3 separate regions of the Mus musculus genome follow, and all the other regions are reported to be linked to region 1. The links are microRNA targets in miRTarBase. Many come from high-throughput screens and were not tested one by one. Region 1 holds a microRNA gene; each other region holds the end of a gene's coding sequence.

The links. Region 1 holds the annotated microRNA mmu-miR-3572-3p (UACACUUGUCCUUCUUUCCCCAG, at 2,993-3,015, shown strand). A microRNA usually pairs through its seed, bases 2 to 8, with sites in the 3' UTR of a target mRNA and lowers its output. Matches are read on the target gene's strand: a 7mer-m8 pairs with bases 2 to 8, a 7mer-A1 pairs with bases 2 to 7 and ends in A, and an 8mer does both.
Region 2: the mRNA of Pdlim5 is a reported target of mmu-miR-3572-3p. Seed matches in the 3' UTR shown: 8mer at 1,958-1,965.
Region 3: miRTarBase lists Ddx58 as a target of mmu-miR-3572-3p. Seed matches in the 3' UTR shown: 7mer-m8 at 1,694-1,700, 7mer-m8 at 2,047-2,053 and 7mer-m8 at 2,642-2,648.

The regions. Positions count from the first base shown.
Region 1 is chr7:3,653,018-3,657,017 of GRCm38, forward strand. It overlaps Mir3572 (microRNA 3572), which reads left to right and starts at 2,945; the gene lies at 2,945-3,030. It overlaps Cnot3 (CCR4-NOT transcription complex, subunit 3), which reads left to right. Exons shown (of 18, transcript NM_146176.3): 8 at 183-402; 9 at 494-627; 10 at 1,126-1,182; 11 at 2,554-2,935; 12 at 3,016-3,139; 13 at 3,770-3,968.
Region 2 is chr3:142,238,961-142,243,242 of GRCm38, reverse strand. Pdlim5 (PDZ and LIM domain 5) reads left to right here. Exons shown (of 13, transcript NM_019808.3): 13 at 474-3,658. The coding sequence ends at 563. Among named protein-coding and RNA genes, the nearest start is that of Bmpr1b, 72 kb to the right of the region's middle.
Region 3 is chr4:40,202,336-40,206,617 of GRCm38, reverse strand. Ddx58 (DEAD/H box helicase 58) reads left to right here. Exons shown (of 18, transcript NM_172689.3): 18 at 512-2,841. The coding sequence ends at 808. Among named protein-coding and RNA genes, the nearest start is that of Ddx58, 35 kb to the left of the region's middle.

The DNA.
Region 1 (4,000 bases):
CAGATTTGTCCTCACTGGGACAGAGGATGGGCAAACTTCTCACTGGCCCATGTTAGGAGGGCTGGAGCAGAGGCACCCTTGGGGTGCCCTAGTGATGGGGGACTGAGGACAGGTTCTGTGGGGGCAGGAGGGCTGGCCAGGTGCTCTGCAGCCCCTGAGCCTGGCCCTGGGCTCGCCAGCAGAAGCAGGACCGGATTGAGGGCTTGAAGCGGCATATCGAGAAGCACCGCTACCATGTTCGTATGCTGGAGACCATCCTGCGAATGCTGGACAATGACTCCATCCTGGTTGATGCCATCCGCAAGATCAAGGATGATGTGGAGTACTACGTTGACTCATCCCAGGACCCCGACTTTGAAGAGAACGAATTCCTCTATGACGACCTGGACCTCGAGGACATTCGTGAGGCCCTGGGCTGACCTTCATGGCACAGAGGGTGAGGGCAGGAGGCATGGCTGTACCAGCTAAGCATGCTGCTCCCCTACCCCCACAGCACAGGCGCTGGTCGCCACCTCCCCCCCCAGCCACAGCCACATGGAGGACGAGATCTTCAACCAGTCTAGCAGTACACCCACCTCAACAACCTCCAGCTCTCCCATCCCACCCAGCCCAGCAAACTGCACTACGGTAAGTGTCCAAGGTTATTAATAAGAGGGTGGTCATGGAGGAGTCAAAAGCCTAGTCTTGCCTTAGAGAGGGCAGCTCAGGAAGTGAGCTCTAGGCTTTTTGTGCTCTGAGGAACGGATATAAAAAACCTGGGTTTCCACTCAGTTTTAGGGTGCACATGGGTCTTTGGTGGTGGTAGTCAGGAGGAGTTGGGGTGTGGAAAGCTGAGGAGCTGAGCAGCTGGGTGTCTCCCTTCTGACAGGGATCCGGGGCCAAAGTCTATAAGGAAAGAAGTCCTGGGTATGTCTCAGGATGGGAGTGAGTGCTGACTCTCAGATTTTTAGGTGTTAACCAAAACTTCAGGCTGAGTATTGGAGCAGCTCTGGAGCACAGGGCTACTCAGATGGGTCTATGAGAGACTGAGAGTAGTAAGGGCCCTCCTGTGTCCTTAAAGGATTGCCCTCTGTTTTGGGACCCTGGAGGTCACAGAGTTTTTTTACTTCACTTCCCCTGCCTCAGGAAAACTCTGAAGATGATAAGAAGAGAGGCCGATCTACAGATAGTGAAGTCAGCCAGGTGGGTCCAAGTCTAAATCTGATGGTTTGTAACTTGTTTATTGCGTGGTCTCCAAAGTTACTGAAGCTGGAGGGTTGGCCACGATGCTGGGCTCTTGGGACAGGTGTGCCAGAAACAGTGCTACTCTGAGGGTAGGGTGATGACTGGTGGTGTGGTTGAGGTGGCCTGTTGTCTGGCTTATAGAGGAAGACTAGGTGGTACTGTGGGCAGGTCACACAGGGAACTGTGGCAAGAAGTTAGGAAGTATGAGAGGTGGGCTGTTGGACTGAGGACTCTTTGGTCTCTTGAGGACCCAAATAGCCTGAGAAGTGATCAGAAAGTCAGACTGCCTGTGCTGCACTGACTGCAGGAAGCACTTCCTGAGAGAGGAAGGCAGTATGCGGCACTTCTGAATTCCTTTAGATCCTAATGAATAAACTCAGCTCTGTCAATTTCTCCTACAATAAGAACATATCTTAGGAGACAAGAATGTTGTTGAAGAAGCCCAGAATTCCTTTAGGCTAATAGAAAGGACAGTCTCCAGTGGGAGGACCTAAGTGCACACTAATGAAGCTAATTTGGGGACCAGGGTTTAGGAGCAGCCAGAGTAATGGAGTGAGGAGGTGGGGCAAGGAATCATGGGGGTGGGCTTAGTTCTGCCACCTTATCAGGCCCCTTGACTGTCAAGCAGAAGTCCCAGGAAAAATGTGAATGGCCAGTTTTCTTTGTGATTTTTGTGTGGTGGTCAGAAGGCTAGGAGGCAGTTTGGCATGGCAGCCTGGTTGTTGGAGCGTAGTTTAAGTAGGGATGCCCTGGAGCACTGCATTTTTACAGTTTCATGATTAGCTGACATTCGGAAGGAATTGATTGTCCTAGTTCCCTTACGCTTAAACATTTAGGCTGATCCAACTAATTGCAAATTGAGGTTGGGATTTTTGTTTTTGTTTGTGTTGTTTGTTTCTTTTACAAGAGCATCTCGCTGTGTAGCCTATGCTGGCCTGAGCTCTCCAAATAGACAAGGCTAATCTCAGACTCATAGAGGGCTGCCTGTCTCTGCCTCTCAAGTGCTAGGATCAAAGGCATGTGTCACCACTTTAGGTCTCAAGTTCAGGGTATTTGAGAGTTTCCCTTGGTCTCTTGTCTTAACCTAAACCCTGTCAGATTCATGTGGGCTATAGGGACAATGTCCGGGGAGGACTTGGGACAGCTGGGTGGGCTGGAAGTAAATAGGTCTTAAACCTGAAGGTGATTGAAGTCTCCTAGGTGCCTCAGAGAATGTGGACAGTTAATAGCAGGTCAGAGGCAAGGCAGGAGGACAAGAAGAGGGTGGTGGATAGGGGACAGGCTGGTCTAGTACCTGACCCTTTGTTTTTTCTTTCTTTCTTCCTGCAGTCTCCAGCCAAAAATGGCTCCAAGCCTGTCCACAGCAACCAGCACCCCCAGTCCCCAGCTGTGCCGCCCACCTACCCCTCTGGCCCCCCACCTACCACTTCTGCCTTGAGCTCCACCCCTGGCAACAATGGGGCCTCTACCCCAGCAGCACCTACAAGTGCCCTGGGCCCTAAGGCCAGTCCAGCTCCCAGCCACAACTCGGGTACTCCTGCACCCTATGCCCAGGCTGTGGCCCCACCTAATGCCAGCGGGCCCAGCAATGCCCAGCCACGGCCCCCCAGTGCCCAGCCAAGCGGGGGAAGTGGTGGTGGCAGCGGAGGGAGCAGCAGCAATAGTAACAGTGGCACAGGCGGAGGGGCTGGCAAGCAGAACGGTGCCACAAGTAAGTGGAGACCAGTTTGGGGAACAGGGCAAGGTGGACAGTAGCTGACAGCCTGTTTACACTTGTCCTTCTTTCCCCAGGCTATAGTTCGGTTGTGGCAGACAGCCCTGCAGAGGTGACCCTGAGTAGCAGTGGGGGCAGCAGTGCCAGCAGCCAAGCCCTTGGGCCCACTTCGGGCCCTCACAACCCAGCTCCCAGCACCTCGTGAGTAGTGGGGTGGCAGTGTGTGGGCACAAGCTCTTATGCCACTTGTTTTAGGGTTCCAAGTTCTACCCTTCCTGGGTAGTACCTACCCAGTGTGTCCTTTCTTCACCTCAGCAAGTGTTCTTTTCCCTGCTTCTTACCAAGTGGGACATGTTTTACTCTCGGTTTCACACTACACTGTCTTCCCATTTCTGTTCTTTGCTCTGAGGCAGCTGACTCCCATGAGTGTGGGGGCTTTTCCCTTTTCCAAGTAAAATATCCTAGTCCTCCATTTCTTCAGCTTGACATCAGATTACTAATGAAAGATCTGCTGCCTTGTCAGCCTCGTTACCAGTCCTACTGGGATTGCACCATGTGCATCTGTGCAATCATTTACTCCAAAACTGTTTCAGTGACAATTCTAGAACTACCCTGTCCCCTGTCCTTTAACTTCATAAGCTGTTGGGGGGACCCTAAAATCCTGGTTGCACACCTCAGTACCTCTGCTGTACTGAAGAGGAGTCCAGAGGTTGGATTCACTTCTGCATGCTCCAGCTGTCTTGCTTTCAGCCCCCACCCCCCTTTTTGGATCCCATATTCTGTGCCTGTCTTCAAGGATCTTAATTTGATTCTCCTCCATTCTTTACCCAGAAAGGAATCCAGTACGGCAGCCCCATCAGGGGCTGGGAATGTGGCTTCAGGCTCAGGGAATAACTCGGGGGGACCCAGCCTCTTGGTGCCACTGCCTGTAAATCCCCCCAGTTCTCCAACGCCCAGCTTCAGTGAAGCCAAGGCAGCTGGTACCCTGCTTAATGGTCCTCCACAGTTCAGCACCACCCCAGAAATCAAGGTGAGTTTCTCGGGTGTGAGCCCTGAGCCTAT
Region 2 (4,282 bases), not on the chromosome of region 1:
TACCATACTCAGGCACATACACATAATAAAAGATGAACAAATAATAATAGCAAGAATCTATGGCCTTTGTGTTATAGGACAGACTGACATTGGGTTTGGCAAAGGAATTAAGCTATGTTTCTTTTTGAATGCTCTATAAAAGGAAACAGATTTTTTAAAAATTGGTTAGAATTTGTATTCTTAATGTGACTTTTGGTGTACTAAAATTTTCATTGGGACTAAGTGTTTTCTTCTTAGTAAAGAAAAGCAATCATCTGTTATTTAAATAAATCAGACTGTTCTAGGAAAAAAATCACTCTGCTTTTCAAAAATGACATAAAATGTCATGTTAATCATGAAGTGTCAGCTTGTCTCACACAACTATCTAAAGAACTTGTAATGTTGCTCATTGGGGGCAGTCACTTCCTGTTGGGAGATTTGATTTAAATAATGTTATTCTTTTAAATAATGCTTCTTTTTTTTTTTTCTTCCAGGTGTGTTGTGAAAGTTTGGAAGGGCAGACATTTTTCTCCAAGAAGGACAAGCCACTTTGCAAAAAACATGCTCATTCTGTGAATTTTTGAAAATCAGTGGTTCCAGGAAAGAGAAGAAATTTGAAGAAAAAGCAAAATCAAAATTACCATTTAATTTTTAGTTTAATATTTATATGGAGTTCTCAAATAGTAATAGCCCTGAAGGCACAGACTCCAACTTTAAAAATCAAATCTGAGAAAACGTTTGGTTTAGAAAGCCACAGACAGTTTGGCATTTGTTATGAATTGCCAGTATTTTCTGCACATGAAATAGCTTTTATAAAAATCAATTTCCTGGCTATTAAGTTCATCTTAGAATAAATTAGCAAAGTATTACATTTTAGAATTAAAATCCCTAGCCTCTATGCTGAAATAATACTTTGTGGGGCGGGTAGTAGCTATGAGAATCCACAGAAGGCAATAAAAGTGCCTTAAACCTTATTAATAAGAATAATTGTTTAATAAAACCATTTTATCTTTAAAATAGTAAGTAGAAATCTAAATAAATTTTATGAGTAGGCAGTAACTTTTCTGTTTAGTGAGTGTACTTGCTTTGCTCTTATCATTGGTCTTACCTTTCAGTAAGATGGGCCATGGAAATTCTTGATCAAAGTGTGTCGTGCCAGTAAGAGATTGTTGTGATCTCTTCTGATGTTCTCCCAGATGCTGGCCGCCTTCAGATGGGGCAGTTTGTTTGTGTTGTGTATGGCTGCCTGGTCCAGACCGCCATGCTTTTCATCTCTTATGCTGACATGAAGATATTTCAATAGCGTTAGACTCTAATAGTTTTGTCTCCTTTTTAGAAAAGAGTAGGTGGAAGATAAAGGAATTATGGAAATAAAGTCATTGTAAGTAGAAAGTTAAAAGGACCACTTCCCACTTTCAGATAATGAACTGACTGATTTTTACATCTTATGTCTCTAACTGAAGGTTCAAAACCTCCTTGCCCGGTTCTTGGTTCTTTTTTCTTTTTGGTTCGTTTTAGATTGAGGATTATGATAAGAGCCAACTGTATATTGTTACTGTGTTTTTGCTTATTTGGAGTTGTTTGGGGGATTTTGTTTCTTGTTTTTTGTTTGGGATTCTTTTCTATCAGTAAGTAAATCCCCTCCAGCTGTGTGATCGCTGACTTAGACAACTTTGGGTCTCGGGCCTTTGGTAGTAAGGGAGAACCATGATGCAGCTCTCCCATGCTCCCGTCATCTGTTCGTCCTGAGAGAGCACAGCATCATGCAGGCACCGCCTGTAGTCAGGAAAGTGACTTTGAGACAGCCGTGTAGTTTGCCTCACTACCTAGGGAGAAAAGAAATGATGGCGTTTCGTGTTTTCTTCGTTTCTATAATGAATAAAAGCGTGTGATCCTGCTGAGTTACAGCTTAAATCTGTGGGGACAAGGTGCTTTCAAATTCCAGATAGAGTTCCCAGGTTCCTGCTGCCCCATCACCCAAGTGTACTTGTGCATCGTGTGTGTGTGTGTGTGTGTGTGTGTGTGTGCGCGTGTGCCTGTTAAAAAAGACGTCTTAGACTACAGTATTTGTTTAACCTCCCTAAGAACTTTCAAGGCATCTGTCCTGAAAGCTGCTAATCTATGGTCTAGTGAATTTATATTATATGCAGATAGTAATGAACTGGGAGATCAATGAACAGCAAGGGTGATACCACATTGCAAAATGGAAGCTTCTCCAGTAGCGGCCCAGGTTGCCTCCTCACCTGTGCTTGTAGGGAGGCAGGAAATGTCTTCAGAAGTCAATGCTGGGGCTTTGTCCGTTAGGTCTTTGTGCTGCTGCAGTGATCAGTATCAGACTTGATAACTCATGTTATCAAGTTAGTTATAGTGTTATTTCAGATCTGAATGTCAGGCTTTGGCTTATGCGACAAAATAAGTTGGGGTTTTGTTTTGATGTGGTAGTTTTGTTTTGTCTTTTAGATGATGTACAAAGATAATATTTGAAAACTCATTGGCATTTGCATACTCAAAGGCTTTTCTTTGAGTTGGAGTTCTTATAAAATTTTCTTTTACCAAGGATATCAATTTTATTAAGCCTTTACTTCTATGTGTTATTTGTAGAGTATAACGCTGCATTCTATAATGCTGGATTTCTCTAAATTTAATCTGTAAAAGCTAGTGTGGCTTGGTAATTTGGCATTGTGTCTGTATTCTTTGCCTGTTTTATGGCAAGTTGTATATCCATACCTAAAACAGTGACCTCTGGGAGGTGAGTTCTAACCATAGCCAGAAGCTCTGTCTGCAGTGGGGATTGCTATGTTTTGTTTACCAGCATGGGTCTGTAGATACCTGGCACTTTACCCTTCTGGCGAGCTCCCTGGGTATTTATTAGAAGTCTTCTGTGTCGGTAGCATTGTTTTTTCACTAGTAAGTTTTCACCATAGAACCCCGAGCTTTCCTCCTGCTAGATGTATGTTTAGAAGGCTGCACTCGATAAAGCCCAGATGGAAACCATAGTGCATGACTTTAAGTCCCTCCTCCAATTTCTCATTGTTCAGGCTTGGATGGTCCTACATTGATACTGTCTCTCTAATTGTTCGGTCTGACTGCTGCCTGTTGAAGTAGTAAAGTGTTTCTCTTCCTTGTGATTCCATGTTTTCCAGGGGTCAGGTTACCTTCCCCATGTAAAACCAAAGCCTAATTCTTTGGCCATCGTATTAAAGCAAAAGTAACCATTTGTTTACAAGAGATTTGTAAACAAAATCCTTTGAATATTGATATAAAACTATGTTTTAAATTATCTACAGCAAAATGTACTCTTTCCAAGGAACTCGAGGTTAGAGGCACTTCCACGGAAAAGTGATTCCCGCAGTGCAAGTTCAGTGGAACATTAATGCTTTTGTGCATGTGCAGCTCAGTCATCTCCATTGGAGCAGAGGCAACTCACACAAATGTACCCTTACTCCAGTCTGTCCCTCACCTCCATTGTCTAAGGTATTGGACTTAGATGCTTATGTGTAATATGTTGAACCTGTCAGTTGCTGTCTTTTTCCTTCTTCGCATTTTAAAGTTTGTGTATAGCTGCTCTTTTGCTTTTGGATATATTTTTAATTAAAAAAATCACATGAGAAATGTAATCTGTATAGTGATACTTTAATAAGCACATACTCAATAAACAACTGCAATGATGTCGACAGCACGCCTGGCCTTTTTTTTTCCCCCTCTCTGGGTGCTCTGTGCTTTCACTTAACTGAGCATGGGGAAAAGTCAAAAGTCATGTTTCATCATCACAGGCCTGGAAACAACCCCTGACAAGTCTCTGCCATGGTGTTAGCCAATCCTGCTGCCCTAAACATTTGAAAATACTGCTTTTACTGTACTATCTACCTTCTAGCCTTTGCATGTCCAATATGTATAAGACTTGTTTGCAAATTAGTAGATAACCAGTCTTTAAATATGTTCATTGCTAAAACTAGTTATTGGAATGGCATAGTATCATGCCTCGCTGTGTCATATGATTAGTGTCATAACCAAAGGACAGATTTCTTGCTCTTCACATTTGGCATTAGCCAGGCTGTCTCATGTCTCAGCTCAGGCTCATGAGCTGACTGGCCATTACTAGGTAGGCTCACTCATCTCTTACTCTTTTGTCTTTCCGCTTGGGGGAACTTTATTTTCTTTCCTAACTGTGTAAATTTAGAGGGATGTCTCTGTTTTAGACTGCACATTGGGAATGGGAAAGAAACTCAAGTCTATTTTGCTCACAGTATATTAAACTCCAGAAGCCAAACTTTTAAGGGCATCGAGTCTGCATCTGACATTT
Region 3 (4,282 bases), not on the chromosome of region 1:
ACAAGGCCATCCTCTGCAACGCACGCAGCTGGAGCCATGTGTACTCCTTTGTGGATGGCTTAGTCGCTGGGAGCTCTTGGGGGACTGGTTGGTTGATATTGTTTTTCTCCCTGTGGGGTTCCTTCAGTTGTAGGGTACTCTCTTAAGTCAAGTCTAAGTGGGGTCTGTGGACAGCATGGCTCCTGAGCCTGTTCACACACATACCCTGTGACCCCTGGGTGTCACCAGCCCTGTGCTTTGGTGCCTTCCTGGCCTCTGGTGAACTTGAACTTTGTATGTGAACTCCTCTTTGCTTCTGAGTTGGAAAGCTGGGTTTCCTCCTTTCTCAGGTGCCAGACGCCCAGGAAATGGGTCCTAATCGGCCTGGGGAAGACTGTCTATATAGTTTTTTTTTCTTCCAACTTGTAAAATAAATGGGATCCCACTCATTCCTGACTTTTAGCTACTGAGTGGCTTCTAAGTCATTTTCAGACCCGTTTCTAACATTGTGCGCTCCATCTCTTCCTCCTAGACGTCCCACTACACTGTCCTTGGAGACGCTTTTAAGGAGCGCTTTGTGTGTAAGCCACACCCTAAACCAAAGATCTATGACAATTTTGAGAAGAAAGCAAAGATATTCTGCGCCAAACAGAACTGTAGCCACGACTGGGGAATTTTTGTGAGATACAAGACGTTCGAGATTCCAGTCATAAAAATTGAAAGTTTCGTCGTGGAAGATATTGTGAGCGGAGTTCAGAACCGGCACTCAAAGTGGAAGGACTTTCATTTTGAAAGGATACAGTTCGATCCTGCAGAAATGTCCGTATGACCTCAGGCTTCTCCGTCTCGTGCCGCAGGGAGCCGTGCCTTAAGCATGGAGTTGATGAGCCAATGCTTTCTTACCCAAGCTTGCACAATCCTTTCTTACACAAGCCTGCACTGTGTTGAATGCCAGATAACCTGACTGGTTGGTTTCAAGCTGGTGCTGTCCACACAAAGCACACACGCCTGAACTGCGGCGCCGAATAGTTTCTTCACCAATAACTCATAGCGTAGCCCTTGGCCATGGTGGGGAGGGGTTAAACTTGTCCCTTTTACACTTTTCAGAACTGCCCGACAGGGAACGTGCAGCCACTCGGTACACCGAGACGCATGATGGCTGGCGTGCTGGAAGGGTTCCCGTTCTCTGTCTGCTCGATCTGCTGTAAGCTGCCTTTGCCCTTAATGACAGTGCCCTTAAGAACAGTGACTTAGTTCTTTTTCAGGCCACCAGACTGACTGCCAGATCCCTTCTGTCCCTTCTGTCCCTTGCACTGATTCCTTTCCGGATTTGACCCTGCCACCCTGTCACCCTCTGCAGAGTCTCCTGGTTTCTGTCTCTTCCTTGGTTTCTTTGCTGACTCAAATTTGGTAGTTGCAAGGTTCAGTATGCACACATATATATTTAAAATGACATATAATTTAAAATGTAAAAGACTATAGTTGACAGCTATGCTTACTGAGATGGTATTTCTGTTCTGTTCATTACTATACATCTTACCCTTGCTCTCATCTGTTCTTTTAACTTGGGCCATTTCCCGTCTTTGAATAGACATCTCAAACCCTGTCTGTATGTCTGTCTGTTTCCCACCTGTTTGAGACAGGGTCTCTCTGTAGACCAGAAACTCCATATGTAGACTATGCTGGCCTTGAACTCACAGATCCCCCTGCCTCTCAAGTGTTGAAATTAAAATCTTTCACCATGCCTGGCTCTAGCTATTTTCAATAAAGGCTCATGTTTAAAGTTTGAACTACTTCCAATTCATTCCCTGACGTGGCTTGTTGTTGTTGTTTACTTTTGGAGACACTGTTCCTCTCTGTAGCCCTGGCTGTGTAGACCAGGCTGCCCTTGGTCACAGAGATCTGCCAGCTTCTGCCTCCGGAGCACTGAGATTGAAGGCCTGCATCACCATGCCTGGCTTGCCCTTTCTTCTTAAACATTATATATTCAAATGGCATTTCCGTGTTTCTTCTCAAGGTGTGCCAGTGCTTCAGAGAGCTTAGTTTGGGGTTCTTCAGATCAAGAGACAAGTGTCTGAGCGCTGTTACTGCCAACAGAGCAAAGTACTCTTCAGTTCAGGGAAGGAACAGTGCTGGTTTTGTAGGCAGTACAGTGGTTTTAACACCTTCCTAGAACTTACTTGTAATTCATCAGTTGTAGACCATCAATGGCCTAAACCAAACTGCAGAGATCATCTGACCACATAACTCCCCTTCCAGGACATTTACATTTGAAGACTATCCCAAGCCCACCCAGAGCACAGTGGGTTACCCAAACTCCCCAGGTCAACCCTGGAGGTCAACAGTATGACATGGGATAGCACACCACTTCTCACAGATGCCTAGAGAAATTACCCAGCAACATAACTCTTTGGGGAAAAAACACCTATAGGGATTAGGCTTTTAATTGATAGAATAGGTAGAAAAAAAGATATGTAGTAGTTCTTGATAGTGGTTACTGGTAAAATTCTTAGTGCAATAAAATGAATTTGCCGAGAGCTGACTTTCTTTTTTTTCTTGTTTTTTTGAGACAGGGTTTCTCTGTATAGCTTTGGCTGTCCTGGAATGCACTCTGTAGTCCAGGCTGGCCTTCGAACTCAGAAATCCGCCTTCCTCTGCCTCCCAAGTGTTGGGATTAAAGGCGTGCGCCACCACGCCTGGCTGAGAGCTGACTTTCATTTATGTCTTTTAGTCTATGTTGCCTTTCTTTGCTGCTACAGTTTAAGAACTCTACAGCTTGTATAAGATACCTACTGGAAATTATTTGAGAAAAAAAACTTGTAAACATTACAATAATTTAATTAATTAAAAATTTATGTATTTTATGTATATGGGTGTTTTTTTCTGCAAGTCTGTGTGCACATTAGAAGAGGGCATTGGATCCTCTCTATTGTTATAGTTTTATGCTGCTGCTGTTGTTGCTGTGTGTGTGTGTGTGTGTGTGTGCTATGAATTGAACTCAGGACCTCTGGAAGAGCAGTCAGTGCTCTTAACTGCTGAGCTATCTCTCCAGTCCTGGCAATGATAAATCAGTTGAAGTGAAATAGTCCTCCCCCCCCTTTTTTTTTTTTGCCAATGGGGAAAAGCAGACTAAATCTGAGACCAAATGAAGTTTTGAGTTGTACACTGACTTAAGCCACTGCCAAGCATACCCTGGAATGGAGCAAACCCTGGGTTACTAAGTACTGAATGAATACAACAGGAAGGTTTTGAGAGATGGGAAAATGCTTGTCTTTGGACTTCCCTGATGGAAGTTGCATCTGGACTCTCCCATGAGCACATCACCAGTCCCCACTAGAGTCCTCACAGGTTGCCATCCATGTGTCCTTTTTGAGGCTGAGATACAACTTGTTCTGCAACCACAGACCTTGCTGTTTTGTGGTCAGTATTGGTATCATAGCATTTTCATCCTGACCTGGAGCCTTCAGTCAAAGGCCTCATTGTGCAGTAAGGACGCTGGACTCCTGACTCCTATACTTAAAACAGACTTGGTAATTTCAAACAAGTCAACCAGATGCCAGTATTTCTGCATGCATGTCTTGTGGGATGGTGTTGTGAGGTCCCCTGACAGATGCACTGAGTGGCCAGGGAGACTTTTGTACCCTTTTCCATTTTAACAGCCCACGGGTCACTGTGTTGCTTCCATCATATTAACATCAACTTGAACCAGTGGTTCCTGAAACACTTCAGTTCATTGGACCTTGCTAATTAGCATCCTGTAAAAACCCACCAACAAATATCAACTAGACAGGTAGAATCCAAGTGAACTGTACACTCCTGGATCATGCCAGTAACTGTTTTAATAATACACCATAAAATATAACTACGACTTCATTTTACAAATCTGTGTTTAATAAACAGGTACAGGCTTGTTGGGTGCGAACTTTTAAAACTCCTAATAAAAATGCCAGCTATGATTATCTTTGTTTATGGCAATTTGACTAAGAGAACAGAAATTAGCTGAGTGTTAAAGTACATCTGTGCTTACAACATTTAACAACTTCCTAAAGAGCCGGTAGAACCACAGTTCCTGTGTTCATAAGCAAGGCTGTTTCAGTCCGGTACAACCCATGGGCTGCTCCATGCCATCTTACCTGAAGGTAGCCTCCTTTGAACACTTGGGCTCCAGAGCGTGGTGCTGTTGGGGAACTTGTGGGAGATGAAGCCTCCCTGGAGGAGGCGTGTCACTGGGGATGGATCTAGAGACTCTGTAGCTGGTTCCTCTTCCTGTTCAGTCAGCTTTCTAAGAGGAGATGCAATGTGG